Stegostoma tigrinum: one gene and its partners. The protein of the gene in region 3 purifies or fractionates together with the protein of the main gene of each other region. This does not show direct contact. Links are inferred from orthologs where the notes say so. Each region holds a gene or a part of one and is shown on either strand. Other genes may lie near its edges. The genes, in order: cttnbp2, fgfr1op2, strn3 and misshapen-like kinase 1.

Region 1 (7,845 bases), on a different chromosome or scaffold from region 3:
TATAGGACAACTATATTTATCTTACATTTGGAGTTTAAGCTTAATGTGGGTCACGAATATTGTCATGGTGGCTTCTTACACAGCTGTGCTTTCATTGTATAACATAAACTAAAAGTATTATGCTAACAAGAGTTTTTTTTAATAAATACAGAGCATCCCAATAGAAAGCATAACACACTGGAGTTCCTTCACAAGCTACGAAAATCACCTAACCATCATTTCCATTTTGGTGTGCATCTTAAACTTAAGCACTAAACTTTGTGTGTCACCAATCTGGATATTTTTTAAACACAGTTACCTAAACCCACTTTGGAACACCAGTAAGTTGCCTCTTAACCTTCACAGATATACCATTAAGAAAAAAAATATCACAATCTGTGACTATCTTCTTGTAACAAATCTCCCACAAAATGGTATCACTTTAATAAATCCCTTTTGTACCCATTCCATAATCTTGACATTTTTCCTTATTTAGATTCCAAAAACAGAAGTAACATTCTAATGGCAATCCAACCAATGGCTCATCATTACCACTTCAATTTTACACTGTCTCCCTACTTATGAAACCAAACGTCCCAGCAGTTTTAACAGCTTTTGTCAACTGGTTCTAATAATTTAAATAATTCATTTCCACCCACAGCCTTGAGCTTTCCTTCGTTCACATCAGTGCAGCACTTCTAATTCGTAGGAGGGCAGCTTAATGGCAAATCGTTCATGAAGTATTTAAGCCTGACATCAACCTGTACAGCAAAGCAACCAGAAATGCTGCAAACTCTAATGATGACAGCATTCGTTTACAGTGTAAGTGTAAGACAGGATGTCTTTGAAATTGCTAATACCTATCAAATTATTTGCCAAGTTGAATACTTGTAGCTGGAAAATTCCAACAGCATCTGGTTCTTTAGTGAAATGAAAGCCTGTGTGAAATGTGTGCATCACACATTTGCACCATCCTATAAATGGAGGGTGAAATAGAAACAGTTAAGAAAAGAAAGTCTATCACTTACCCTTAACGTTTCGATCACCAGATCTCTGGCTTCCAATTCTCCTTCAAGGATACTTAGGAAAGTCAGCAGCTCGGTTTTACTCAGACTCTCCAGGTCAAATTCAGACTTCTGGAACAGTAACAAATTTACTTCCAATTTAAGTGGATAAGGACTCACACCAATGTATTAAGCATTAAGCTGAATGACAACACAAAACATAATTTACGCCTCTAACAATGTTTGACTGAAACAAAAATCAAAAGACCATAAACAAATGTGCAACTGTTCTACGTACTGTATAAAACACGATAATACAAAAAAAACCCTCAATTCCTTAAGGTGGCTAGTCGATTCTCCTACAGCTCTTACGATTTAAGGTAGCCGAATGTTCTCATCAATTACAATTAAACAGCAATTGCGATATAATATGAAAGGAAATGTAGTTTAGACAAATAATATCTTCGATACAATCGAGTTTTGCCTTATTGAACTGAGTAAGATAAATGATATAGACACGGGCTCAGATTTCAGCTGCAGGAAGGCAACCCTCGGGGTTTTGTTCAGGGCAAACAAAGTGCTGCGGGCCGGCAAAAACCTTGGTGTGTGGGTGGGTTTTCGTTTTCAAACAGAAAAAAAATGCCTTCAATCGAATTTCAATTTCGGAATGTAGTACGTTCCACTATAAAGCCAGCAAAGAAAATGAGAATCTCGGCAACGGTGTGAGCAAAACGCCAAACGTAAATCGATTCTAAAGCCCAAATCAAATCGTGCTTTCAAACACGTTACGAAAAAGAAAAGCGACGGGAACGGAATTTATGAAGAGGTAGAAGAACTGCACGGTTACATTTTCCAGGCTGAACCCCTCTTAGCGTGTGGCCGCTTCCCGCATCAACTTCCACAGGGAACGGATACATTGTATCCACTGAGTTTATGCGGCTACATTCCAGACTCAACCTCTCACAAAGGAGCGGGCTTTTCTTCATTTATTTAATACACATTGCCGTTGATAAAGCTGACTCCGCGGTACGGGTCACTCACTGGACTTTACCTGGCAGACAGTGGGGGCTTGTTCCTCAGACGAGGGGTCGCCGCTGTCCGGCCTCAACTCGCTCTCAGTCGCCATTTTGCCTTGTGAGGGGGTGGGAGGGAGGGGGGAATACAGACAGACAGACTCAGCGCCAGCAACCAGACAGGGGGCAGTGACCACCAGCAAAGAAAAACCAGAGCCCATTCACAGCAACCGAGAGAGAAACTGCAGAAACGAAACCTGTCGAGAGAAAGACACAGTCTGCATAAATCAAACCTATAAAAGAAACAGCACAAAGCAAACTGGAGAGAGGGAGGGAGAGACTGTACAGACCTAAGCAGAGAGAGAGATTGCACAAACCAAACCAAATCTACAGACAGAAAGAGACTGTACAAACCAAACCAATAGAGAGATTGCATAAATCAAATCTACAAAGAGAAACAGCACAAACTAAACCAGGAGAGAGAGACTGTACAAATCAAAGCAGAGAGACATTGCACAAACAAAACCAGGAGAGAAAAAGAGAGATTGCATAAACCAAACCTGGAGAGAGGCTGTACAACCAATGGAGAAAAAGAGAGACTGCATAAACCAAACCCAGAGATTCCGAGCTGAACATCAAACTGACAATGAAATAGCCACACAGAGGCTCTACCAAACCAGCAACTTATTACTGGAGAGGCGAAACTAAATGACACATGAAGGGTAACTCTTCTGAAGGCTGGGGTCAGTGCAGTGTGAAGCACCGCTGTTCTTGCTGATGATTTTTCATCTGAATACCTCCCGGTGAACAAGTCTCACGTTTGCCTGGTAATTTTGACATGGACCCATTTCTCGTAACATTGCATAGTTAGTGTAGAAAATTTATAAACAAAGCCTCACGGGCACGGAAGTTTCACTGTCCATGAACGCTCACATATTCCAAACCAAAATCAAGACCTCGGACTGTGGCAAAATGCTTCTGCAGCCATTTCACAGTGAGGTGTAACTGATCTGTATAACTGCTATCATCGTAAGAACAGCACAGGAGTCACGGAGACCCTGCTTGACAAGATATCGTGACTTGGAAGCTGGTTGGTTGATAACGAGATAGGAGAAATGTTAAAATATTCGTCGCTTTATCTGAAGTCCCTGCCTTTCTCTAATAAATTTGAAACTCCTGTGTTGCATTGGGAACCAGATAACGGGTGTCGAAAAAAGTAGACTGCCATTTTTTTCAAGCTTTTTTAATTTATTTGTTTGGTCTTTGCCGTTAGTCAAAATGAAGGTAAGTGTAATTAACTGCATCAATCTGTCAGGCAGACTTTTGGGGAAAATTTTTACTTCTGTTGATTGTAAAGCCAAAGCAAAACACTCAATTTTGTCAGTCTGTAATGTGAATAGAAAATTTTGGAACTACTGTCACCAGATCAGGCAGAATTTCTAAGAGAAAGCAGAGTTAATTAGCTGGATTTCAATCTTCCTTGCTGGCAGGATTCAAGGTGGAAGACCTACTTGTTTCACCTAACCTGGGCGATATGTCGGGTATGTGGAGGTGTCAGACGGTCTACCCTGTCTTTGGGCCTATTGAGGCCAATAAGTGGGCCTCCCATCACCATCAGTAATTTACCCTTAGTGGATGAAGACCCACATCATGCAGGAAGCTGCGTGGATTGATGCCAGGCAAAAAGAGACAGATCTCCTGTGTGAATCTTCTGGATCCAATGGAGCTTCTAATACTTAGTTTCTGAAATCTCACATGCAGGATAACTCAAAAGTAGTTTTTATAGCTTTTAGCTATTCTATATTATCTCAGGTAAAATATATGTTACTTTTTGCATATTAAAATGCAAATCTTGTGTCCATTTGGAGTATAATACTAAAGGAGAGCATCAAAGAACCTGAAGAATGTTTAAACCTTGTGGAACAAAATAATGTTCATTTCAGAAAACAAGTAGCTAAATGTCAGTGGAAAGTATTCACTTTCCTACTAAATTGCTGGAAAAAATATCCTGATTAAATTAAGATGGAAATGCTGTAACCACAAACTGGGCTAAAATAATCTATATACAGCAAAAACTTCAAATGCATATGCACTAGGATTAATTCTAATCAAATTAATTTTAAAAATGGAATTACTAAACAGTAGGCAGTTTGGCGACATCATAATTTTGATTTCTTACTGTTAAATAGGATGTGGTAAAATCCGGAGATAATTCAGAAAAAAATTGCTTGAAGCAAATCTCCTGTCACTTCTCACGCAGCATCATCTTCATTCTTCACAAAAAGCATAAATTGAAACTCCGAAGAACAACTTTGCCACTTTCCATCTCAATGCCATTATTTGTACACAAGTGATCAAAGAATGGGAATTACTTTCAATTTCATGAGCTTTTTTTTAAGGAAATAATCTGCAATCTTGCACAAAGCTTAGTTTATTGCTTAATTCTAAGAAACGTGGAAACTGAAACCGAACAATTGGAGGGCACCTTGAGGAAGAAAAGTCAAATATCTGTGCTTTTGTAAGAATGTCTTATAGATGCAGGAACAGTAAAACTGCCTCTTTGCACACCAACCTCCAGTCCCTTTTGGAATGTAGGGTATCTATGACATGATGTAGTTACTTTAATTTAAGGGATGAGCAATTGTTTATAACAAACGATGTCAGGTCCCCAGATTATCTATATAATCCAAATCCCACATCTCTGACAAAGGAACAGCAGTAGGCCATTCTTCCACTATTCAGTGAGAGCATGGCCGATCTGTGACCTAACTCCGTATTCCTGCCTTTTGCTGAACAAAAAACTATCAATCTTGGACTTAAAATTAACAACTAACCCTGCATCCATTGCCATTTCCAGAAGAGAGCTCCAAACATGACCCTTTGTATATAGAAGTGCCTCCAAAATCTCTCTTGAATGGTCTGGCTGTAATTCCCAAACTGTGCCCCCTAGTTCTACAATGTCAAACTAGTGGAAATAGTTTATCTTTGTTTACTTTGTCTTTTCCCGTTAATATCTTGAAGACTTCAGTCAGATATCCTTAACCTTCTAATTCTTTAGAAAATAGGCTATATTTATCTGGATGTGAGTTTGCTCGCTGAGCTGAAAGGTTAGTTTTCAGACATTTCGTCACCATTCTAGGTGACATCATCAGTGAGCCTCCGACGAAGCGCTGGTGTTATGTCGAAAAAAAAATACCTTGCAAGAACTGTGACAAACACTACATTTGGACAAACAGGCAGAAAGCTAGCCACCAGGATACATGAACATCAACTAGCCACAAAACGACATGACCCACTATCACTCGTATCCTTACATACAGATGAGGAAGGTCACCACTTTGAGTGGGACAACACATCCATCCTAGGACAAGCCAAACAGAGACACGCACGAGAATTCCTAGAAGCATGGCATTCCAACAGGAACTCCATCAACAAACATGTTGATTTGGAGCCAATCTACCATCCTCTGAGAAAAGGAACAGTAAATGACATCACCAATGCAGGAAATGACATCAGCAACCCAAGGAAACCTAAACAGGTAAATAGAAAGTGGGACATAACACTAGTGCTTTGTGGGAGGCTCACAGATGATGTTACCTAGAATGGTGACAAAACATCTGGGAACAAACCTTCAAGCTCAGTGAACCAGCTTATATCTGGAACAAAATAAAGAACCACTCTCTTGTGGACTGAGAGGAGGAGAGTGCTGTCTTGGAGGTGGAAGGAGGACGTCGGGTTGGCTGTGCACCCTTGCAACCAGTGGATCTTAATGCTGGCTTCGGCCTAACGCTGGTTCAGGGGAGCAGCCAACCTGCAACGATGGCTGCGGCAAGTGCTCGTGCCCCAGGTCAGGGGGTCCGGAACGCCAACCGTGTTTCCGTAAAGAAGGTGGATGAAGGTGCACCTGTGGACTGCACCTTCTTCGTGAAGAGGGTCCTGTTGGACTGTTGCGGGTTCGCTGCTGCGGACATTTACTGCCTGCAGGATTTCCCCGGAGGAGGTTTATACGACGTGACCTTCAGGAGTGCCAAGCTTTGCGAGCACTTCCTGGAGGTTTTCAAGGAGAAAGGAGGTGAGGGCCCCCTCTCTGTATTGCCTGCTGTCCCGCTGTTTGTGATGCCAGCGCAGAGGAGCCGTATGGTGACTGTACATATGTACAACCCGCATGTGCCAGCAGTTGATGTCCTGACCTTCCTCGGAAGGTACGTGAAGGTGGAAGGGGACCTAACTGACATCATGGACCCCTTTGGCATCTGGACGAGTAAGAGGCAGGTCAAGGTGATGCTGAGGATGGGTGCGGACGGGAATGTCGTACACCCACCGTCCAGCTTCGCGATCGGTGGGAGCAAGGGCTACCTGACCTATGCATGGCAACCTAAAGTCTGCCATGCCTGTGGTAGGTCAGGTCATGTGGCGGCCGACTGCAAAGCCACCATCTGCAGGGAGGAGGGACACCTTGCAAAGGATTGCCCACAAGAGAAAAGCTGCAACCTTTGCGGGGAAGCGGGCCACCTCTATAGGGCATGCCGGCAGCGGGGGACCACCTATGCCCAGGTTGCTGGCAGGGGCAATGCGGGGCCAGCGCCCCCGGAGGAGAGGAAGGCACCAGGGCCCAGCAAGGACCCCACTAATGAGCGGGAGGGCCAGGCCGCGCAGGGTGGGCCCAGCCCCGCAGGGTGGGCCCGAGGCCGGCAAAGCACCCCTGCAGGCTCCGCTCCCCCCCGACAACCCGGAGTCGATGGAGGCGGCGACAGGCGACCCAGGGGAGTGGACAACAGTCCGGAAAGCGAGGCGGAAGGTGCGTCGATGGGCCCAGAAACCGCAACCATCAGGCGGGAAGAGGCAGCTACAGGGGGGCTATAAGAGCTCCTCTGACGAGGGGGATTCGGAGAGGGCCCACCCGAAGCAGAAGTTAAAGATCTCGAGGGAGAAGGAAAGCAGCATCCCGCTTCCAGGTGATGGGAGGCGTCCTGAGGCTCCCGCCGACACCCAGTCAAGTGCCGCTGGGGCACTGGAGGGCCCCCCGGAACTTCCAGGCGGGACGGAGGAAACAGCGCGTCCCCAGCCTGACCCGGAGCCGGACCCTCCTGCCTCCGCACCCCTGACGGGGGTGATGCCACCCGGAAGGCAGCACAGACGGTTTCCTTAGCCCGGAGAGCGTCCGGCAGTTAGCCCGGGCAATGGGCATGAAGGGACAGATGGAGGGGCTGGACCTTGGACTTGGGGACGGTACTGCGGTCACTGCCCACAATGGGGGTACGAATTGCGAGCATTAATGTGCGCAGTGTCAAGTCCACCGCAAGATGTGTCTCCATGTTGGCCTACCTGACCACCGTCAAGGCGGACATCCTGTTTCTACAGGAGTGCGGGATACCGCACCTCGGCAGGTACGGGAAATGGTCCGGCGCCTGGACCTGGTGGGCCTTCGATCTGGTCGGGGGGTAACGACTGTCACTGCTCGGGCCTGGCTATTCTGCTGCGGGGGCGCGACTTCACATCTCTCAAGTTCAGGAGGTGGAGGGGGTGGCGCCTCCTAGTGGCTGATGTCACCTACAGGAACGCTCCCCTGAGGCTGGTCAATGTGTACGCCCCAGCGGTAAGGAATGAGCGGTTGGCCGTCCTGCAGCAGCTTCCACCCCTGCTGGCTACGTCCAGGCCAGTCATCCTAGGCGGAGACTTCAACTGCATCATTGATGCAGATGGAAGATCCGGCGTGGGGACAGCGGGTGGGGGGAGTCAACTGGACGTCACGCCCAGATTCCTGATGGGCACGGTGAAGGACGCCAAGCTGCTCGACGTCTTCAGCACCCCTGCAGACGGAGCACAGCGGAGGTACACCTGGTCGCGGC
Region 2 (7,530 bases), on a different chromosome or scaffold from region 3:
TTGCAGAATAATTGTTGTATATCACTCACCTGCTTCATGGCCTCCACTCGCTTGTTCAGTGCAGTGGTCTGTTCAATGAGAGCTTCTGCTGCACTGTCATGTTCTTTCAATCGTTCCACCAGCGCTTTTGCATCAGCCAGAACCTTCTCTATAGTACAACTCATTTCTGTAAAAGGAAAGACTGTTTTTCTGGGTCGACACAGAGTGAAGATGGTGGAACACAGCAGGTCAGCAGCATCAGAGGAGCAGGAGAGTCGATGTTTCGGGCCTAGACCCATCATCGGTCCTGATTCCTGGAGTCAGCCTGACCCGCTGTGTTCCTTCAGCTCCACACTATTGATTCTGATTCCGGCATCCGCAGACCTTGCTGTCTGTTTTACTGGGTGCCAGAGTACACGGCTCACAGAACACGAAACAGATTGTATTGGTGTACCATCCTGCAGCAGACAGAAAACATTCAATCCTGTTGCACAACTCATCAGAATGGCTGCTCATCAAGCTCCGTGCTCTCCCAGACCGCTGCAAATCTTCATTTACCACTAGGGGTTGTGCTGGCAAGGTAGGAACCAAACTTGTACAATGCAAGACACCATTAACCACATCTGGGAGCACTGTTCCATTTCAGGAAAGTTATTTGTGTTTGAAACACTGGTCTTAAATAGGATCTTTAAAGACTATTGCACCCTTAAAAGGATCCTCACTGAAGACAACACAGCTCTGTCTCAGTGCCGCACTGGAGCAGTCAGTTTAGGCCATCGGTAAACCCACCAGACTGTAGGTAAGGGTCCGAACAATTAAGCCCTGCTGATAGCAGGAAAAACAGAAAATGCCATGACAAAAACAAATCTGTCAAATGCTTCAGAGAATGACTTTACAAAAAGACATCCTTCAAAGACTAGACTTTGACAGCTGCAGAAATTCTCTTGTGTTTTAATCACACTAATTACCAGCCTAATTAGCCAGTGTTTCAGATAAACTGGGTTGTCATTTCAATAGCTAAGGCATATTCTGTGTTGTTACTGAAATTACAAAGAAACTTTGGCTCACAGACTGCTTTGTAACATCAAATGAAAAATCACAGACCTGAAGCACCAACTATGTTCTGATCTCCCCGAATACAGCCAGCAGCTGAGTATTTTCACTAATTTCTGTATTTACTTCAGGTTTCCAGCATCTGCAGCATTTTTCTGTTGTTGCATTTATAACTAGGCTGTTTTTGACGGCAAATTAGATGTCTTGGGGTCGCAAGAACCTTACTCCCCATTCACACCTACACACACAGGATCAAAGTTTTACTTCTGTGTTGTCGAGTTATAAATAATAACAAGCAATTCAGGTGCAAACACAACATAAGCCCGTTGTAAGCCAATCTGACACGGCACTGAACCCAGGCAAAGGAAAACAAGGCAGACAGTCACTATGTATTGGGGAGGGGTCTCACAGAAGTATGGAAACTGCTACAACATGGAAGCTGGAGGAGGAGAGTGAGGGAGGGTGCAAGGGGAAGGTGGTAGTGAGAGAGGGATGGGGGGAGAGGGATGGGGGGAGAGGGGTGGGGGGAGAGGGGTGGGGGGAGAGGGGTGGGGTGGGGGGAGAGGGGTGGGGGGAGAGGGGTGGGGGGAGAGGGGTGGGGGGAGAGGGGTGGGGGGAGAGGGGTGGGGGGAGAGGGGTGGGGGGAGAGGGGTGGGGGGAGAGGGGTGGGGGGAGAGGGGTGGGGTGGGGGGGTGGGGTGGGGGGGTGGGGGGAGAGGGGTGGGGTGGGGGGGGAGGGGGGGGGGGGAGGGGAGGGGGGGGAGGGGAGGGGGGGGAGGGGGTGGGGGGGAGGGGGGTGGGTGGGGAGGGGGTGGGGGGGAGGTGGGTGGGGAGGGGGTGGGGGGGAGGGGGTGGGGGGGAGGGGGGTGGGGAGGGGGGTGGGGAGGGGGGTGGGGGGGAGGAGGGGGGTGGGGAGGGGGGTGGGGGGGAGGAGGGGGGGGAGGAGGGGGGTGGGGGGGAGGAGGGGGGTGGGGAGGGGGGTGGGGGTGGGGGGGGGGAGTGGGGGGTGGGGGGGGGAGTGGGGGTGGGGGGGGGAGTGGGGGTGGGGGGGGAGTGGGGGTGGGGGGGGAGTGGGGGTGGGGGGGGGGAGTGGGGGGTGGGGGGGGGAGTGGGGGTGGGGGGGGGAGTGGGGGGGAGTGGGGGTGGGGGGGGAGTGGGGGTGGGGGGGGAGTGGGGGTGGGGGGGGAGTGGGGGTGGGGGTGGGGGGGAGTGGGGGTGGGGGTGGGGGGGAGTGGGGGGGGAGTGGGGGTGGGGGGGAGTGGGGGGGGAGGGGGAGTGGGGGGGGGGAGTGGGGGGGAGGGGGAGTGGGGGGGGAGTGGGGGTGGGGGGGAGGGGGAGTGGGGGGGGAGTGGGGGTGGGGGAGGGGGGAGTGGGGGTGGGGGAGGGGGAGGTGGGAGTGGGGGGGGAGTGGGGGAGGGGGGAGTGGGGGTGGGGGAGGGGGGAGTGGGGGTGGGGGTGGGGGAGGGGGGAGTGGGGGTGGGGGAGGGGGGAGTGGGGGTGGGGGAGGGGGAGGTGGGGGAGGGGGGAGTGGGGGTGGGGGAGGGGGAGGTGGGAGTGGGGGTGGGGGTGGGGGAGGTGGGAGTGGGGGTGGGGGAGGTGGGAGTGGGGGTGGGGGAGGTGGGAGGGGGGGTGGGGGAGGTGGGTGGGTGGGGGGGAGAAGTGGGTGGGGGGAGGTGGGGGGGTGGACGGGGGAGGTGGGGGGGGGGAGTGGATGGGGGGGGTGGGGGGGGTGGGTGGGGTGGGGGGGGTGGGGGGGGGTGGGGGGGGTGGGGGGGGTGGGTGGGGTGGGGGGGGTGGGTGGGGTGGGGGCGGATGGTGGGTTGTCCCTGGGAGGTCAGGACCCTATCGACTCCCTGCGCCGCAGCCTTGGAGACCCCTCGCGGCTCCTTCCCGCTCCATATCTCACCGACTCAGAACCGTTGCTGCTGCCGCCGTTTCCATGAACCTCTCGGCGGTCAAAGGCCGGAACCGGAAATGCCCCAACAACCCAGGGGCGGAACCGCGCGTGCGCAACCCCGGCGCGCCGCGCGGTGCACGCAGGGGATTGTAGTTCGCTGCAGTGCGCATGCCTGATGCTCCACGGATTTCACCTCCAGGCTACAGGCGGCGCTGTCCAAAGGAAAACGCATTTGCAACATTCAGGTGCAAATGTGTCAAACAGGAACAACCATGTGGCCAAACCATGTGGCAAAACCAGTGGGAAATCCAACCGGAACCCATTGGGTTAGTCACCAGACATGTGGCTGTTTGTCATTTTGGGGGAACTGTTAGCTTGGAAAATGACTGACAGACAGGAATGCCCATGTCAGGAGTGTTTCAGCCTCTCACACTGATCCCTCAATTATCTTTCTCAAGAAAAGTGATTTCTCACATTGATTCGAATAGACAGATGTTTGATGACCATGCACACATGATGGGCTGAAGGGCCTTCTTCTGTGTCGTAAAAAAACTCTGAGGTCAGACGACACCAGGTTATAGTCCAACAGGTTTATTCGAAATCCCAGGCTTTCCAATTGTAGAGATAGCAGGAACTGCCGATGGTGGAGTATCTGATACAACACGGTGTAGAGCTGGATCAAAGGAGCAGGAAAGCTTGACGTTTTGGGTCGGGACCCTTCTTCAGAAATGGGGGAGGGGAAGGGGGTTTCTGAAATAAATAGGGAGACGGGGGGAGGCGGAGAGAAGATGGATAGAGGGGAAGATCGGTGGAGAGGAGACAGACAGGTCTAAGAGGCAGGGTTAGAGCCAGTGAATGTGAATGTAGGTGAGGAGTTAGGGATGGGATAGGTCAGTCCAGGGAGGACGGATATGTCGGCGGGGGTGCGGGATGAGGTTAGTAGGTAGGGGATGGGGGTGGGGCTTGAGGTGCCTTTGTCAGGTGAAGCCCTGACAGAGGAGCAGTGCACTAAAAGTTTGTGATTTCAAATAAACCTGTTGGACTATAAACTGGTGGCATCTGAATTCTGACTTTGTCCACCCCAGTTGAACACCAACCTCTACATCATAAAAAATGCTACGTGTGGAAGACCTTTGTGATCCTTTTAAGAATTCTGATTTAGTGATCGTGTTTTTTTTTGTTTGACTGTGCACCAATATATCACCAATACTCTTGCTTGCCTTTACACACACTATTTGCCTTGCCCCCACTCTGACCAGTTGTTCACGCTCTTCCCACTTACATTTATGATTCCTCTAACATTATGTTCTATTATAATTTCCAGTTTCCTGGCCGCAGACAACACCTCTTCACCATGGGTGTATAATCCTTACACACAGCTATCCCCATCAGGATGTTCTGGCAGTTGTCTACTACTTCCTTGAAAAGAGGGCTGAATGATTCCTATCCTCCAGCACCTGACTGAGCTCATTTTAAGTCTGAACAACCCCTTTAACTTGTTCAATTTTCTCTCAGTCAAAGGAGTGGCTATGAGGACCTGCATTGGGCCCAGTTGTGCCTATCTCTTTGCAATTTGAGCAACATTCCTTCAGTCCTAATCAGGAACCCTCCCAATGACATCATTAGTGCTGACACTGGTCTGGAATCAGAAAAATTAATTAGCTTTGCTTCCCATTTCCAACCTGGTCTCACCTTCATCTGGTCTATTTTGACTCTTCTTTCCCTGCCCTTAATTCCCATGCTTCCATTTCTGGGGATAGGCTGTCCACCAATATCCATTACAATCCCAGTTACCGTGGCTACACATCTGCAAATCTTATGTCCTGCAAGGACTCCATTCCATTTTCCCAGCATCTCCATCTCCTTTTGCATCTTTTCCAACGATGCCAGATTCCACCTTGTGGTATCCAACATGATATCCTTTTGTGTCAACTGAGAAATTCTGCCCTTTAAGGAATTCCTCCCTCCCCACCCTCATTGTAGCTGACAGACCCCTGAACCATGTGCAATCTGTCTCTCCCATTTTTCCATCAACAATGATAGGATTCCCTTTGTCCTCACTCCCCACCAGTGTGCACATCCAAAGGATCCTTCATTGGCTCTTCTGCCACCTCCAGCAGGATGTTACCACCAACACATCTTCCCCTTCCCTCCAATGTCAGCATTCCACAGGAACAATTCTCTCTATAACAGTCCAAGCACTTCCTTACTGTCCAAACGTACCTGCTCCAGGTGAAGCAGTGTATTGTAGTGTACTATCTAGTGTATTGTATTCACTGCTCACAATGCAGTCTCCTTTACACTGGTGAGACAAAGTGTAGACTGGATGATCACTCTATGGAACCATTCCAATCTGTCGATAGGAAGAACCTTCTTGTTGCTTGTTGTTTCAATGCCATTATCTTGCTCTCTTGCCAACATTTCCATCCTAGACCTGCTGCAGCGTTACAGCAAAGCTCAACGCAAGTGGAGACGCAGCACCTGGTTTTCCTCTGAGGCACTTTACAGCCGCCAGAGCTCAACACAGAGTTCAACAACGTTCCAGCATGTACACTCTTCTCCAGTGACCATAGTTCTGTTACTTTTAAATAGTTATGGAGAAGGGCAAAACTGGCCCACAGGTTCAAATTCTAAATTGGAGCAAGGTGAATTTTGATGGAAAGAGACAGGAGCTTGCAGGGGTTGATTAGAATAGTTTGTTTACAGGTAAAGGGATCTCTGGCGAGTGGGAGGCCTTGAAAAGTGTGATAGGTAGAGTTTTAGGTCTATAAGCTCCTGTGAGGGTGACGGGCAAGGTTGGCAGGAATAGGGAACTCTGGATGACAAGAGATATTGAGCTTTTACCAGAAAGAAAAGGAGGCATGACTCAGGTAAAGGCAGCTGGGATCAAAGGGATCCCTGAAGGTATAGTGGGGATTCAGGAATTTACTGAAGGAGGAAATCAGGAGGGTGAAAAGGGGAGACAGCTTTGGCTGAGAAGGTTAGGGTGAATCCAAAGACATTCTTTAAGTATATAAAAAAAGAGGAATAACTAGAGAGAGAATAAGACCCCTCAAGGACCAAAGTGGACATGTGTGTGTGTGGAACCACAGGGGATGGGTGAGGTCCTAAATGAATATTTCTCCTCTGTGTTTACCGTGGAGAAAGAACATGAAGACTAGGGAACTTGGGGAGGTTAGTGGTGATATATTTGGGACAATCTATATCACAGTACAGGAGGCTTTGGAAGTACTAGAATATACAAAGGTGGATAAATCTCCTGGTCCTGACCAGATATGTCCAAGAACCCTGCAAAAGGCTAGGGAAGGAATTGCGGGATCCCTGGCTGATATAGTTGCATCATTATTAGCCATAAGTGAGGACCCACAAGACTGGAGGGTAGTGAATGTTGTGCCTTTATTCACAAAGAGCTGTAAAGAATAACCTGGGAATTGTAGATAAATAAGCTTAACGTCTGTGGTAGGTAAGTTACCGGAGAAGATTCTGAGGGATAAGACATACATACATTTAGAAAGACAGGTTTGATTAGGAGTAGTCAGCATGGCTTTGTGCATGGGAGTTCAAGCCTCACAAAATATGTTAGAGTTCTTTGATGAAGTGACCAGGAAGCTGATGAGGGCGGGGTAGTAGATGTAGTCTACATGGATTTCAGTAAGGCCTTTGATAAGGTTCCACATGGTAGGCTGCTCTGGAAGGTTAGATCACATTAAATCCAGGGAGAGCTGGCAATTTGGATAGACAAGTGGCTTGATGGTAGGAAACAGAGGATAATAGTGGAAGGATGCTTGTCTGACTGGAGGCTTGTGCCTCAGGAGTCAGTGCTGGGCCCATTTCTGTTTGTTGCCCATATCAATGATTTGGATGAAAATGTACAAGGCATAATTCTTAAGTTTGCGTATGACACTGAAATAGGTGGTATTGTGGACAGTGAGGAAGGTATTCAGTAATTGCAGCAGGATCTTGATCAGCTGGGGAAGTTAGCCGATAAATGGCAAATGGAGTTTAATATAAATAAGTGTGAGGGTGCGGCATTTGGAAAGTCAAATCAAGGTAGGAGTTTCATGGTGAATGGTCGGGCCTTAAAGTGTTTAGTGGAAGAGAGGGACCTTGGAGCTGAGGTGCACAGTTCTCTGAAAGTGGAGTCATAGATAGGGCAGTGAGGAAGGCTTTTTAGGAAGTTATGTTGCAGGTGTACAGGACGTTGGTGAGGCTGCACTTGGTGTATTGTGCTCAGTTTTGGTCACCGTGCTGTAGGAAGGATGCTACACCTTCCCGCCTCACCTCTGTGCAGGACCCCAAGCAATCCTTCCAGATTCAGCAGCTATTCCCTTGCACTTCACCCAGCCTGATTTATTTTTATTGCGTCCGTTGCTCCCGATGTGGTCTCCTCTGTCTCACGGAGACCAAATGTAGACTCAGGGACCGGTTCATCAGCATCTGCGCTGTGCATGCACCAACCAACCTGTTCTTCCAGTTACCATCCACATTAACTCCCCCTGCCACTCCCCTGGTGACATGTCCATCATTGGCCTCCTCCACTGTCAGAGTGAGGCCAAACATAAACTGGAGGAACAACACTTGATATTTTGCCTTGGGAGTTTA
Region 3 (7,496 bases):
GTCTGTATGTGCAGGATAATAAAAAAAGCTTGCTGTGTTGGAAAGTATGGATAAACAAAGGGATCGGGATGTCTTTGTAAGCCGATCAATGGGTGGGTGCACTAGCAATTTGGAAGGCAAACTGGGGTTGCCTTAGATTTATAGGACAGTGCTGGTTGTAGATGCTGGTGTGTTCGTTGATTTGATAGCAGATGTTTTGTCCCCTTACTACATGACATACTCAGTGCTGTTGTCTTGTGCCAGTTTGAATTTACATGGTCTGGTTTTTGCTGCTTCTGGTAGGTGCCAGTTCTGGCTGTGCATTGTAATGGTCAATATATTGAATCCAATTCAATGTGTTGGTTGATAGAGTCCTCAGATGAATGTCAAGCCTCCAAGAATTCCATGGCTGTCCTCTGTTAGATCCAATAGAAGGATGAAACGGGATCTGACTGAAATGTATAAAATTCTAACACAGAGATAAATTGTGTACGCTTGTTGGTCTAGGGGTATGATTCTTATCGTGTAAATTCTAACACAGCTGGACACACTGGATAGTGGGAAGATTTTTTTTCCTGATTGGGAGTCCAGAATCAAGGAACAGCATTAAAATATGGGTTAAACTATTTATCTGCACATCTTCCCAGTGTCTGTGTGGATTTCTTCCAGGTACTCTGGTATCGTTCCACAGTCTAAAGATGAGCAGGTTAGATGGACTGGCCATGCTAAATTGCCCACAATGTCTAGGGGTGTGAGGCTAGGTGGAAATGCAGTGTTACAGGGAGGGCTATGGGATAGGTCTGGGTGAGACGCTCTTTGGAAAGCCAGTGTCCACTCAATGGGCTGAATGGTCTGCTTCCACATTGCATGGATTCTATGATTCTTCAAAGGGTAGTTAATCTGGGGAATTCTCTACTACTGAAGACATGTATGCCAAATTACTGAATGTATTCAAGAAAGTGATTCCTTTTTAGATTTTGAAAGTATCAACAGGCATGGGAAGAAAGCAGACATATGGTCAGCTATTATCATACTGAAACCTCGAAGGCCCAAATAGTCTGCTCCTAGTTTCTGTGATTCCAAGTACAGTATATAGTATATGGTTTCAATTAATGTAGGATAAATATTTTGTTCCCAAAACTACAAATAAAACATAAACTACATCATTAAACTTAATTCAAGAAAAATCTAGCAGTCAAAATCACATTTACTCAAAAGGTCTAGCAAAATTAAACTACTGGTTGATATTAATGATAATATTTAATTATAAAAACTCACAATATAAAGAATCCAGGTACACCAATTTTAAATACTGAGATTAATTAGTGACAGTGAAGTAAGTCACTGCCTTGTATTTTAAAAAAGGTTGCATGTATTCAAAAGTAACAAAAAAAATTTACTTATTACCATATTGTCAGTTAGAATGTAACGACAAGTAGCATTTCTTCAAAAAAAAAATACATTATCAAGTTATTTCAAAACACTTCAAGATTTGAATTTTAGATCTGAAGTGTAGTTGCTTTAATGCGAACAAACTGCATCCGATTTCTATATAAACTCAAACATGACTAGTTAATCCATTTAGTGCTGTTTTAAGAGTAAGTGATCTGTGAGAACTCCTAAATTGTAAACAGTACCAAAATTATTCTTGAAATCAACAGACAAACATGGCCTGTTTACAATTTCACCCAAGAGATGGAACCTCTAAAAACGCAGCATTGTCCTCAACATTACAATGCCTACACTACCTTTTGTTGCAAACTGTTTATACAAACAGTTGTCTGTCTTAAAGTAATATTTTGAAGACACAAAGGGTATCTTAACAAGTCATGTAACATATAACAATGCTGCTGTTAGAATTAACTTCAGAAATGGATATATGGTATAATGACACCACCAAAGTGAACGAGGAATTGAGATCCTGCATTTTGCCTTAAGCTGTCCATCGTTACAACGATAAACAGTTACCACGATGTGAGAACATGCATTTGTTTAAATGACAGGATCGCAATGAAACTGCAAGTGAATTAAAACGATATCGCGTCAGTCAACTGAATGTCAAGTCTATGCCCGATGTGGTCAGTGCCAATTTGTCGGATCACAACTGAATCGCTTCAACACAAACACATTTATCCAGATTGACAGTTTCAGGCAAATTATGAGAACTGAGTCATATTCTGCATCAAGGGCTTATGCAATGCTACCCAAGCAACGCTCAAACAATCCATTCTGCAAAACCAGACACCCGGGTCTGAGGCTCCCCGTTTGATCAGAGATGTAAGAGGCGCACACTGTCCGACAACAGCATCATTCGGTAACAAATCAGGAGAAGCAAATTAAGTTGAAAACCAGGACCATCAGACGAACCTAAGGTCCATGAGCACCCACATACAAACATGCTCCCAGTTATTTACACTCAGCTGTCCGGCGCCATATTGGAAACAAAAATGGCGGCGGCGAGGATAGCCTCACACTTGGGTAAATACTATCCGCTCTATCAATCCTCCTCCGAGCCCCGGGCGAACACTGAGCACACAACCGTATCGCTCATTCCGAGTTCGACGTCCCCAGCTGTAGATCAGCCCTCCCCGGACCCCCAGACCCGCTGTGCGAGCACTGCTTGTCACTCTACCTGAAGCTCGGCCCTCTCCACCTCCCAGTGCGCTCGCTCCATCTCGAAGCGGGCCCACTCATGCTGGATATAGTGTAAGATGCCGGGGATAGTGTACTGGGGCCGCTGCTGCAGTTCCTCTAGCTGACCCTGCTGCTGCTGCTGCCGGACACCGTTGTTGTTGCTGCCGTTGCTTCCCGGGCCCAGCAAAGGACCTCCGGAATTGTTTTGTGAGGACATTCCTATCGGATGTTCGTCCATGTTTATTATTGTTATTACTACGGTGGTATTGTTATATTAGTGGGAAGGGTCCGCGAAGGAAAGTAACCGGATGAGTTTCAGCGTCGCAAGCGAGCCGCCATTGCCCTTCTGTCTGCAGAATATGGCGGCGGCGCTGCGCTGTCGGTGGAGGAGGAGCAGCCGCGGCCCTTTGGCCAAATACAGCAGCAGCGCTAGTGCGCAGGCGCGCCTCACTGGCCCACACACCTGCTCAGTGTCTGCAGGCTACTCACTAGGACCTTACCTGTCGTTTCTACAGAGAGACTGAAAAGAGCGTGTAAGACAAATGAAATGAGATTCTCCTTTTACGATCAAAGTATCAGTTTCTATTCAGATATTACTTCCCCTAAGAAACGGTCTGGTGCGATTCAGTTTAATTTAAAATGTTTGCTCTTTTTCCTTATTTCTAATCAGTGATCGCATCACTTTTGCGGATACTATTTAAGACCCCGTGTGTTCAGATAATTGAGTTTTATTTAACAGAACCTGCTAATGCAACAGGAAAGAGTTTCTGTAACTTTCTACAATAATCCTTTAACTTGAAGCTAAAATTTTCAGCATTGCACCATTCTGGCTGACAGGAGCTTGTTGACTTTTTTTGTTGGTTTTGCTAGGGTAGAGGTTCAAGTGTATGTTCCTGTGCTAAAGAGGAGAACCAGCCACAGTCTTATTATTGATCACTGCCCAGTTCTTTTTACTATTAAGGGCTACAGTCTTAATTATCCATTCATTTCTCATTGTCTGAGTTTACGGAAAGAATAATCATGGTGAAAGATGCCAGAAGGCTGACTATATCCAAGACACATAAGTAAAACCAGGTGTGGGTTATCCTGCAGACCTTCAAGTCTGCTTATCTACTAAATATAGAATCCTACAGTGTGGAAGCAGGCTATTCCACCCATCACATTTGCACTAACCCTCTGAAGAGCATCCCACCTTATTTCCTGCAACCTCCTATGGTTCACCCACTGAGTCTGCACATCCCTGAACATTATGGGAAATTTAGCATGGCATGTCTTTGGACTGTGGGAGGAAACTGGAGCAAGCCAACACACATCTAGAGAATGTGCAAACTCCATACAGACAAGTCACTCAAGGGTGGAATGGAATCCTGGTCCCTGATGCTGTGAGACAGTGGTGTTAATGACTGAGCCACAATGTCACAACAAATCTTTTGCATCAGTTTTGTTTTCTTATCTTCTCCCATTAATCTTGATTATGTGAGATCAGAAATGTATTTGTCTGGAGAGTTCACACCTCTGTAGAAAATTCTAAAGATTCACAGACCTCTGAGTGAAGAAATTTCTCTTCATGTCAACCCCAAGTGATCCTTAACCTGAAATTGTTCCCTGGTGATCAGAGATAATGGGAACTGCTGTGTTCATCCAGCTTCACACTTTGTTATCATTGATCCCTGGTGCCCTAGATTCCCTAGACAGGAGAAAAACCTTCTCTCTTTAACCTGCGAAACCACTTCAGAATCTTGGATAAGAAGGTGTAGAGCTGGATGAACAAAGCAGGCCAAGCAGCATCATAGGAGCAGGAAAGATGATGTTTCGGGCCTAGACCTTTCTTCAGAAAATTAAGAAGGGCCTAGGCCCGAAATGTCAGCTTTCCTGCTCCATTGATGCTGCTTAGCCTGCTGTGTTCATTCAGCTCTACACCTTGTTATCTCAGATTCTCCAGCACTTCCTACGACTTCAGTTTCAACTACTTGCATGTTTCAACGAAATCACCCCTCATTTCTTTAAATTCCAGAGTGTACAGATATAATTTACTTAGAATGAATGGAATGGGTAGAAAACTGGATGAAAAGAAATTATTATAAATTCTGGAATAAGAATGCAATTAGTTAGTAACATTCGCAGTCAAAAACAAAGATGTCAGTCAGTCAAGATACCATGTACATCATGAAGATCTGCAACATTCAACTCTGTAGCATTATCTGCTCTTCCGTTATCTCAACCCATGTTGCATTGAAAACACTGATTCATTGAACTGACCCTTCCAGTTTTAATTATTCAATTATTCTTCAGTCCAACTTCCCATTATCCATGGTCCACAAGCTAAAATTACAAAACTCTGTTGTCTTTATTCTAACCATGGCCCGACCATGTATTTGCAGGCATTTATTAACTTTTGATCACCTCCATGAATAAGCTCTTGATCTCTCATCCTAATCCTGTTGCTTCGTGTTACTTTTCCTTTGCCTCTGTCAACATAAGTTTAAAAGGAACCTGAGGGGCAATGTTTTCATGCAGAGGTTGGTTTGTGTATCGAACAAGCTGTCAGATGAATTGGTGGAGGGAGGTACAATTATATCATCTAAAATGCATCTGGATGAGTACATGAACAGGAAGGCTTTAGAAGGTTATGGGCCAAATGCTGGCAAATGGAACTACATCAGTTTAGGATACTTGGTCGGCATGAACAAGATGGGCCAAAGGGTCTGTTTTCTGTACTATATATCTCTGACTCTGTCTCTATGAATATACCAACATACAAATTAGGAGCACGAACCAGCCACTTGGTTCCTTGAACCTGCTTCACTTTAAAGACAATTTATAAAGGTATATTTTTCATATTTTGTTCCTTAGAAGTCCTGGAGATAGTCTCTGCACTGATACAACTCTAATCCTGTACCAGTAGCTATCAGAAGTTCTTTTCAAGCACTTATTGTTTACATTTGAGTCTGAATATTAGTTGTTAGTAAGCAGTCATAATGGCCCAATGGTAACATTCTCAAATTTTAGTCGGAAAGATACAGTTTCAAGAGTACGTATGTCAGAGCAGTACTGAGTGGATGCTTCTTTGTTCAAATCACAGTCTTTTGAACGAGACATTAAACTGGGCCATGATCCAGTGATTAAAGAGGAAGAACGAGTGTTTGGCAAATTTATATCCCTCAATCAAAATCACCAAAAACTTGTTAATTTGTAGTCTGTTGCTGTGCACCAGTTTGCCTTGTTTATTTGAAAACCAGCCATAACTACATTTCAAGAATATTTTATTTTGTGAAACATTTCAGGAAACCTCAATGTCTATTTGGTGTTAATTGAATGCACTTTTTTGGTTTTATAGACCTACATAGCAATGCTCGGGTGCTGTGCTCACATAATGTGATGTTTTCCAGCAGTAGTCAGTAAATAATGAAAAGATAAAACCTTGGATGTTATTCTCAATCCACGGATTCATAGGTCAACTACAAGTCCCCAGTGCTGCTTTGACTGACGTGACTGAATTCAGTATGGACCAATGAACAGAGCTCGCACTTGCAAGTACAGCTGAATGGAACATGGCACAACTTCCAGCTGAATGATTTGGTCGGTGGGAAGTGGACAGCTGTATCTGTTTTTATTGATTACACTATCAACAGTTCCTAAGTACAATTCTTCAATCATACTGAATTGCCATTAGTCCTGAGTGATTGGTCAACAATGGAGATTTTTACTTTGAGCTATGAATGGGGTTTCCCATCACGTCAACCAATGATGATAAGATAATTATAGTGTCTGCATAAGTTAATTGGAATTCAACTGCAGAAATACTGAAGTGGAAGTCACTGTAACCATGAGCTACATTCATGCCTGCATGAGGCAGCTGTTAGTGTCTTTAATGTGACTCTTTCAGTTGCTGGTTTTCAGTAGCAGAGGATAGAAGAGTCTGAAAATAGTTATCCTATATTGTAAACAGCCAGAATTATCTTCAGGATACATTCTATTTAATGAATAACATCTATTTTCAGTCTAATTTTCCTTGTCCATATCAATCATTGCTTTAAAAATAAATGTTATAATTCAAAATACTTTCCATTTGAGTAATTTTAGTTCTTTTCCATCTTCTAATAATGCTATATTTGCTTCATGCCTTCAAAGTGTTACACTTTGTTACAGGAAGAATCAAACTTAACCAAAATACATTGAGGTCACACTGACATAGCATTTCAGTCTGGTTCAAACAGTTCCTCATCTCTTTAGTTCTTGATATGTTTGATATCAAGATGATTGAAGTCCTGCTGTCACATAGTAGTCACTTGTCTTATTAAGGAAATGTGTAGGCTGATTTGGCAATAACTGTGATATTGTCACTTTTGAACTTCTATCTGATTTGAGATTGTTATTTAGCTGATGCTCATTATTTTAACATTTTGATTATATGAAGTAACTGTTAAAATTGTTTGAGATACTGACACAATACAGTACGTGTGTGCAGTTAACCTTCTCTATAATGTTGATTTGTTTTGCTTGGGAGGTTATCATAGAACCTGTCCGTAAAGTAATCAGAGACAATTTGTTTTGTACCAGAGATTATGGTAAAACATAATAGAAAAATATTATCAGAGATAATAGGAACTGCAGATGCTGAAGAATCCTAGATAACAAGGTATCGAGCTGGATGAACACAGCAGGCCAAGCAGCATCACAGGAGCAAGAAGGCCAGGTCTAAGCCCGAAACATCAGCCTTCCTGCTCCTAAGATGGTGCTTGGCCTGCTGTGTTCATCCAGCTCTACACCTTGTTGTTATAGGAAAATATTAACTGCCGATTGTCAGGTAGGATTTCTATTTTGCAAAGATCCCAGTAGGAGATCATGCACTCATTTCCATCTAACCAAATTTTCAGAGCTTT
Region 4 (6,834 bases), on a different chromosome or scaffold from region 3:
ACGGGTTGGGGGAGAAGGGGAAATCGGGGAGGAGGGGGGGGAAGGGGAAATCGGGGACGGGGGAGAAGGGGAAATCGGGGAGGGGGGAAAGGGGAAATCGGGGAGGATGGGGGAAAGGGGAAATCGGGGAGGATGGGGGAAAGGGGAAATCGGGGAGGATGGGGGAAAGGGCGGGGTTAAGGGACCGGTGGGGGGAGAAGGGACGGGTTGGGGGAGAAGGGACGGGTTGGGGGAGAAGGGACGGGTTGGGGGAGAAGGGACGGGTTGGGGGAGAAGGGGAAATCGGGGAGGGGGGGGGGAAGGGGAAATCGGGGACGGGGGAGAAGGGGAAATCGGGGAGGGGGGGGAAGGGGAAATCGGGGAGGGGGGGGAAGGGGAAATCGGGGAGGGGGGGGAAGGGGAAATCGGGGAGGATGGGGGGGGGAAGGGGAAATCGGGGGGGGGGGGAAGGGGAAATCGGGGAGGATGGGGGGGGGAAGGGGAAATCGGGGAGGACGGGGGGGAAGGGGAAATCGGGGAGGACGGGGGAAAGGGGAAATCGGGGAGGACGGGGAAAAGGGGAAATCGGGGAGGACGGGGAAATCGGAAATCGGGGAGGACGGGGGAAAGAGAGGGGTGGAGGGAAAATCGGGGAGGGGTGAGGGGGAAAATCGGGGAGGGGGAAAATCGGGGAGGGGGAAAATCGGGGAGGGGGAAAATCGGGGAGGGGGAAAATCGGGGAGGGGGAAGGGGAAATCGGGGAGGGGGAAGGGGAAATCGGGGAGGGGGGAAAGGGGAAATCGGGGAGGGGGGAAAGGGGAAATCGGGGAGGATGGGGGAAAGGGGAAATCGGGGAGGACGGGGGAAAGGGGGGGGGGGGTTAAGGGACCGGTGGGGGGAGAAGGGACGGGTTGGGGGAGAAGGGACGGGTTGGGGGAGAAGGGACGGGTTGGGGGAGAAGGGGAAATCGGGGAGGAGGGGGGGGGGGAAGGGGAAATCGGGGAGGGGGGGGAGGGGAAATCGGGGAGGATGGGGGGGGGAAGGGGAAATCGGGGAGGATGGGGGGGGAAGGGGAAATCGGGGAGGACGGGGGAAAGGGGAAATCGGGGAGGACGGGGGAAAGGGGAAATCGGGGAGGACGGGGAAAAGGGGAAATCGGGGAGGACGGGGAAATCGGAAATCGGGGAGGACGGGGGAAGAGAGGGGTGGAGGGAAAATCGGGGAGGGGTGAGGGGGAAAATCGAGGAGGGGGAAAATCGGGGTGGGGGAAAATCGGGGTGGGGGAAAATCGGGGTGGGGGAAAATCGGGGAGGGGGAAAATCGGGGAGGGGGAAAATCGGGGAGGGGGAAAATCGGGGAGGGGGCAGAAAGGGGGGAAATCAGGGAGGAAAGGGGTGGAGGAAAGGGGAAATTGGGGAGGGGGGAGGAGGGGGTGGGGGAAAGGGTGAATCGGGGAGGAGGGGGGAAAGAGAGTGGTGGGGAAAATCGGGGAGGGGGAAAATCGGGGAGGGGGAAAATCGGGGAGGGGGAAAATCGGGGAGGGGGAAAATCGGGGAGGGGGAAAATCGGGGAGGGGGAAAATCGGGGAGGGGGGGAAGGGGAAATCAGGGAGGGGGGGAAGGGGAAATCGGGGAGGGGGGGGAAGGGGAAATCGGGGAGGGGGGGAAGGGGAAATCGGGGAGGGGGGGGGAAGGGAAATCGGGGAGGGGGGAAAGGGGAAATCGGGGAGGACGGGGGAAAGGGGAAATCGGGGAGGACGGGGGAAAGGGGAAATCGGGGAGGACGGGGGACCGGTGGGGGGAGAAGGGACGGGTTGGGGGAGAAGGGACGGGTTGGGGGAGAAGGGACGGGTTGGGGGAGAAGGGGAAATCGGGGAGGGGTGAGGGGGAAAATCGGGGAGGGGGAAAATCGGGGAGGGGGAAAATCGGGGAGGGGGAAAATCGGGGAGGGGGAAAATCGGGGAGGGGGAAAATCGGGGAGGGGGAAAATCGGGGAGGGGGCAGAAAGGGGGGAAATCAGGGAGCAAAGGGGTGGAGGAAAGGGGAAATTGGGGAGGGGGGAGGAGGGGGTGGGGGAAAGGGTGAATCGGGGAGGAGGGGGGAAAGAGAGTGGTGGGGGAAATCGGGGAGGGGGGAAGAGAGGGGTGAGGGGGAAATCGGGGAGGGGGGAAGAGAGGGGTGAGGGGGGGAAGAGAGGGGGGAGGGGGGGAAGAGAGGGGAATCGGGGAAGAGAGGGGTGAGGGGGATGAAAGGGGGGAATCGGGGAGCGGCGGGGGGGGGGGGGGCAAGATAGTGGAGGGGGGCGGGGAGTCAGTTCCTTGCCTTACCCGGAGAGCCGAGAGGTCGATGTCGTCCAGACTGCGGGCGGGAGGCTCGTTCGCCATCTTCCTGCGCCGCCTGATGGCCGGGGAGAGGGGTTCGGGCCCTTTCTGTGTTCAACCGTGAGCAGAGGCCGAGCCCGCGGCCCCGTTTTCAACAGACTCACGGGCGCCGGACACTGACTGACGGGGCGGAGGATGGAGGGGTTGTGGGGGTGCGGTTAGATCTCTCCACCTCAACCTTTTGTTACTCTGCTACGGCTGGGCGAATGGGGTCAGGTGAAACGGGACCTGTCCTTACGGTGTTGGGCGGGGGCAGCTGCCGTTGGTGAAGATCTGCCACCGTTCCGTCCTCTCCTCCGCCTCCATTCCCCGGTTCCAAACGACAACCTACTTCTCTCCCCAACGCCAACCCTCGACCGGTAACCAGGGGCAACGCCGCCGACACGCCCAGACTCCTGACGTTTAACCCCGCCCACTGTAGGGCGTCATGATGCCCGCCCCCACGTTTGACCTCCGTCGGACGTCATAGGCCGGCCCAGCCGCGTGACGTTGGTTTTACCCCTCCTATGAGAACGTCAGGTTCTCCACGCCCCGTCCCCTCAGACCAATCGGAACACCACCTGACGCGCCCCCGGTCCGTGCAGTTCTCCGTTTCCGCCTCCCCGCCGGCTGTCGCTCCGCACTGTTTTGACGTCACGGCCTCCTAACATGAAAGACGCGGACGTCACTTAACCACCGGACCTGGGTGACGTCACCGACAAGCCGTAATGCCATTCGCTCCCCTCGTGAAACGTGCTCGCGCCTGCGCTCCAGCTCGTCCTTAAGCCCCAACATTGCGCCTGCGTACTCCGAGCCGAAGGCGCGTCTGAGATGATGTACCTGGTTGATGATGCTTTGATGAGCTCCAAATGAAGGCTTCATTCCATTGGAAACCAGAGGGAGGGGATATTCTGTGTAAGAGCATACAGGATGGTAATGGGACAGTTCTCACTAAGACTGCTGGTGGTTTAACCTGAGGGTCACCAGACCTCAGGTGAGGGGAAAGTGGGCCTTCGATTTACCACAGACATTGCATCTCAGTCTAATACAGACGTCAACCTACTGAGTACCTGAATGGATAACACGCCTCTATACAATGCAAATCGAAATCTAAGCGTTAGTCCACGTACAAACTAGGGCAGGACTTATACAATTAATGATAGGGCCTTAGATAATGTGGTGGAACATAGCAACCAGGGGTGCAGGCAAGTTTTTGGCATGTTGGTTAAAAGGTTATTTGCCACGCATGTCTTCAGTGCTCAGTCCTTTGAGTTGGGATGTCATATTGAGGTTGTACAGCATGGTGGTGAGGTCTGTTCTTTGAGTAATGTATGCAGTTCTGGTCACCAGGTTACAAGAAGGATATTCTTAAACTGGAGAGGATTCAAAAGAGGTTGTTGGTGAGCATGGAAAATTTGAGTGATAAGGAAAGGCTGGAATATTTTTCACTGGAGCATAGGAATTTGAGAGGTGAACTTAGATTTGTAAAATCATGAAGGTTAATGGAAGGTATCTTTTCCCTAGGATTGGGGATTTCAAGACTAGGGAGCACATTTTTAATGGCAGAGGTGAGATTTTAAAAAGCTGTGAGGGGAAAATCTTTTTACATAAGGTGGTTTTTGTGGAATGAACTTCATTAGGAAGTGGTGGATGTGGGCACAGTTAGAAAATTTTTTTTTAAAATTTGGACAGGTACATGAATTGGAAAGGTTTGGAGGGATATGGGCCAAAAGCAGGCAGGTGGAATTAATTTAGTTCAGTATTACGATCAGCATAGGCTGATTGGACCAAAGGGTCTGTTTCCATTCTGTATGACTCTATATCTATAATGTTGTAGCTATTATAGACCTGGTTGCAAGAAGGACAAGACTGTTAGCTTAACGTTCCAGATTTAGATGTCCATGCAAGACAGAGATCGATATTTTTTATTTTCAAAAATGTGCATTGGTCATAAAAAAATCTTTAAATACATGCAAAGTCACTAAAGCAGTCCTGTTCTGTACAGTAACAGATGGAGAAACAAACTAATGTTGGAGTTTCACTATACCCAACAAAACTAACCCAAGGCTGTTTCTTACTGATACGTGATTATATTTACATCAATTTGAGGCACAGGAAAGGCGTCCGATGACTGGACAGACCCCTGTTTAACTTTGGCAGAAATATCTTCGACAGTAGTCTTTCCCCACTGTGCCTTCGCAGCAGCTGGCCCAAGCTTCAGTGCATCCCATACCTTGGAATGTGCCAGTCTGCAATATTCAGTCAAGATCACCTCCGCACTGGAAGACCAACAGATCTTGGCATACCAAGGACTGTCTGTTCAGGAAGTTGATAGCCCTCCAGGTGCAAGTGGATGTTTGTCTCTATGCATCCCAGCACAGAGGAATCATGGAGCTACACAGAATAAGCCTTGACAAAAACCACCCATTGCTCTCCATACTTACTTTCCCTACTCCTGCCAGCCTTACCCTTCATTCTAACAGAAACATGCTGGCCCTGAACCCTCTAACTCACTTCTGAAAGCATCTCATTTACCAGACGTCCCTTTGCCTGCAAACAGCCTCCCCCATTCAACTCTTGAACATTCCTGTCAAAGGCCATCAAAGTTGACCTTGCCCCAATTTAGAATGTTGTCTTGTGGACTGGATCTATTCATTTCCTTTGCTGTTTTATAACTAATGGAATTATGGTCACTGGTCCCAAAGTGCTCCCCTATTAACTCTTCATCACTTGCCCTGCTGTATTTTCCAAGAGGAGATCAAGTTTTGCTCCTTGTCTATTGGGGCCATCTACATACTGCATGAGAAATTCCTCCTAAATACACTAAACAAATTTGTCTGCAAACAAACCCTTACACAATGACAGTCCCCAGTCGATGTTATGAAGGTTAAAATCACTTACTATTACAACCTTATTACTTGCAGCCATCTGCAAACTCCTTACATACTTGTTCTTCAGTCTCCTGCTGACTATTGGGCAGCCTAGATACAATGCTTTTTTTTATATTTCTCAGTTCCACCCATATAGATTCTGAACAAGCCCTCAAGCATGTCTACTGTCAGTACTGCTGTGATGTTCTCCCTGAGCAGAAACTCAACTCTTCCTCCTCTGTTGCTTCCCTTTCTCTCCTTCCTATAACATCGGTACCGGGAACATTGAACTGCTAGCCCTGTCCTCCCCTCAACCATGTTTCTGTAATAGATTTATTATCCCGGCCCCATGTACTCATCTAGGCCCCAAGTTCATTTGTATTATTTGTCAGGCCTCTTGCATTGAAGTAAACACAGTTTAGCTGAGACCTCCCTTGCTTCCTGTTGTGCTCTTGCCTGCTGTGTCTAGTACTAGGATTACCAACACTGCCTTTACTGTTTAATTTGCTTTCATTAACCTCTGTACTGCCCTAAACCTTCTCTGTTGTCTCCGTACTGCTTTTGATCCCATGCCCCCAACTCCTGCCAGACTAGGTTAAACCCTCCCAAGGATAGTCGGAACTGCCGATGTTGGAGTCTGAGATAGCAAGGTGTGGAGCTGGATGTACACAGCAGGCCAGGCAGCATCAGAGGAGCGGGAAAGCTGAAGTTTCGCGTCTGAACCTTTCTGAAGAAGGGGCCCAGACCCAAAATGCCAGCTTTCCTGCTCCTCTGATGCTGGCTGGCCTGCTGTGTTCATCCAGCTCCACACTTTGTTATCTTAAACCCTCCCAAGTTGCTTCCAAGTCTTCCTGCCAGAATGTTGACCCCCATCCAGTTCAGATGCAACCGTCCCTCTTGTACAGGTCACCTCTGCCCCAGAAGAGATCCCAATGATCCATGAATCTGCATCGCTGCCCCTTGCACCAGGTCTCAAGCCATGCACTCATCTGCCAAATCCTGCTCATCCTATTTTCACTAACATGTAGCACTGGAACTCACCCAGAAGTTACTACCCTTGAGATCCTGTATTTGAACCTTCTGCCTAATTCCCTGTAATCCCTCTTTAGGACCAACTCCCTTTTCCTACCTGTGCTGTTGGTACCAGTATGTACAACGACTTCTGGCTACTCACCCTCCCCCATAAGAATTTCATACAATGCTCAGAGACGTCCTGGATCTGGGAGGCAACGCACTGTCCTGGAGTCTCAAACACAGCCTCAAAGATGCCTGTTTGTGCCCCTGACTAGCAAGTTCTCTACTATTCATGCTCACTTGGACTTTGTCTGACCCGGCTCTACAGCAGAGCTAGTCATGGTGTCATAGGCCTGACTGCTGCTATTATACTCCCCTGGGAGGCTACCACGCCCCCACCGGTTTCTGAAATGGTATACTTGTTAGAGAGGGGAATAATCACAGGAGAGTGCTACACTGCCTTCCTACCACTCCTGGCAGCCCCCCCATCTACCTGACTGAACCTGGAGTGTGTCCACATCACTGTAACTAGTGTCTATAACACTCTCTTCCCCCTGCAATGCTGTAAACCAACAATATGGTCTGTGAGGAGCTGCAGCTGGTCACACTCGC

The links.
Region 1: the proteins of strn3 (region 3) and cttnbp2 purify together in Homo sapiens (affinity purification with mass spectrometry; 4 studies listed by BioGRID and IntAct, with this or other methods). This does not show direct contact. The link is inferred for Stegostoma tigrinum from reciprocal best matches to the Homo sapiens genes STRN3 and CTTNBP2.
Region 2: the proteins of strn3 (region 3) and fgfr1op2 purify together in Homo sapiens (affinity purification with mass spectrometry; 5 studies listed by BioGRID and IntAct, with this or other methods). This does not show direct contact. The link is inferred for Stegostoma tigrinum from reciprocal best matches to the Homo sapiens genes STRN3 and FGFR1OP2.
Region 4: the proteins of strn3 (region 3) and misshapen-like kinase 1 purify together in Homo sapiens (affinity purification with mass spectrometry; 3 studies listed by BioGRID and IntAct, with this or other methods). This does not show direct contact. The link is inferred for Stegostoma tigrinum from reciprocal best matches to the Homo sapiens genes STRN3 and MINK1.

Annotation. Positions count from the first base shown.
Region 1 is NC_081371.1:35,147,210-35,155,054, forward strand, and holds the start of cttnbp2 (cortactin-binding protein 2), read right to left. Parts: upstream 3,013-7,845; 5' UTR 2,633-3,012; coding exon of another isoform or gene 2,557-2,632; intron 2,505-2,556; exon of another isoform or gene 2,254-2,504; 5' UTR 2,218-2,253; coding exon 2,035-2,217; intron 1,116-2,034; coding exon 1,008-1,115; intron 1-1,007. UniProt on the Homo sapiens protein: Regulates the dendritic spine distribution of CTTN/cortactin in hippocampal neurons, and thus controls dendritic spinogenesis and dendritic spine maintenance.
Region 2 is NC_081371.1:59,157,615-59,165,144, reverse strand, and holds the start of fgfr1op2 (FGFR1 oncogene partner 2 homolog), read right to left. Parts: upstream 3,012-7,530; 5' UTR 2,938-3,011; intron 1,271-2,937; 5' UTR 1,084-1,270; intron 167-1,083; 5' UTR 165-166; coding exon 30-164; intron 1-29. UniProt on the Homo sapiens protein: May be involved in wound healing pathway.
Region 3 is NC_081363.1:61,112,175-61,119,670, reverse strand, and holds the start of strn3 (striatin-3), read right to left. Parts: upstream 3,011-7,496; 5' UTR 2,852-3,010; coding exon 2,612-2,851; intron 2,458-2,611; exon of another isoform or gene 2,404-2,457; intron 1-2,403. UniProt on the Homo sapiens protein: Calmodulin-binding scaffolding protein which is the center of the striatin-interacting phosphatase and kinase (STRIPAK) complexes.
Region 4 is NC_081398.1:13,574,930-13,581,763, forward strand, and holds the start of misshapen-like kinase 1, read right to left. Parts: upstream 3,002-6,834; 5' UTR 2,363-3,001; coding exon 2,306-2,362; intron 1-2,305. UniProt on the Homo sapiens protein: Serine/threonine kinase which acts as a negative regulator of Ras-related Rap2-mediated signal transduction to control neuronal structure and AMPA receptor trafficking.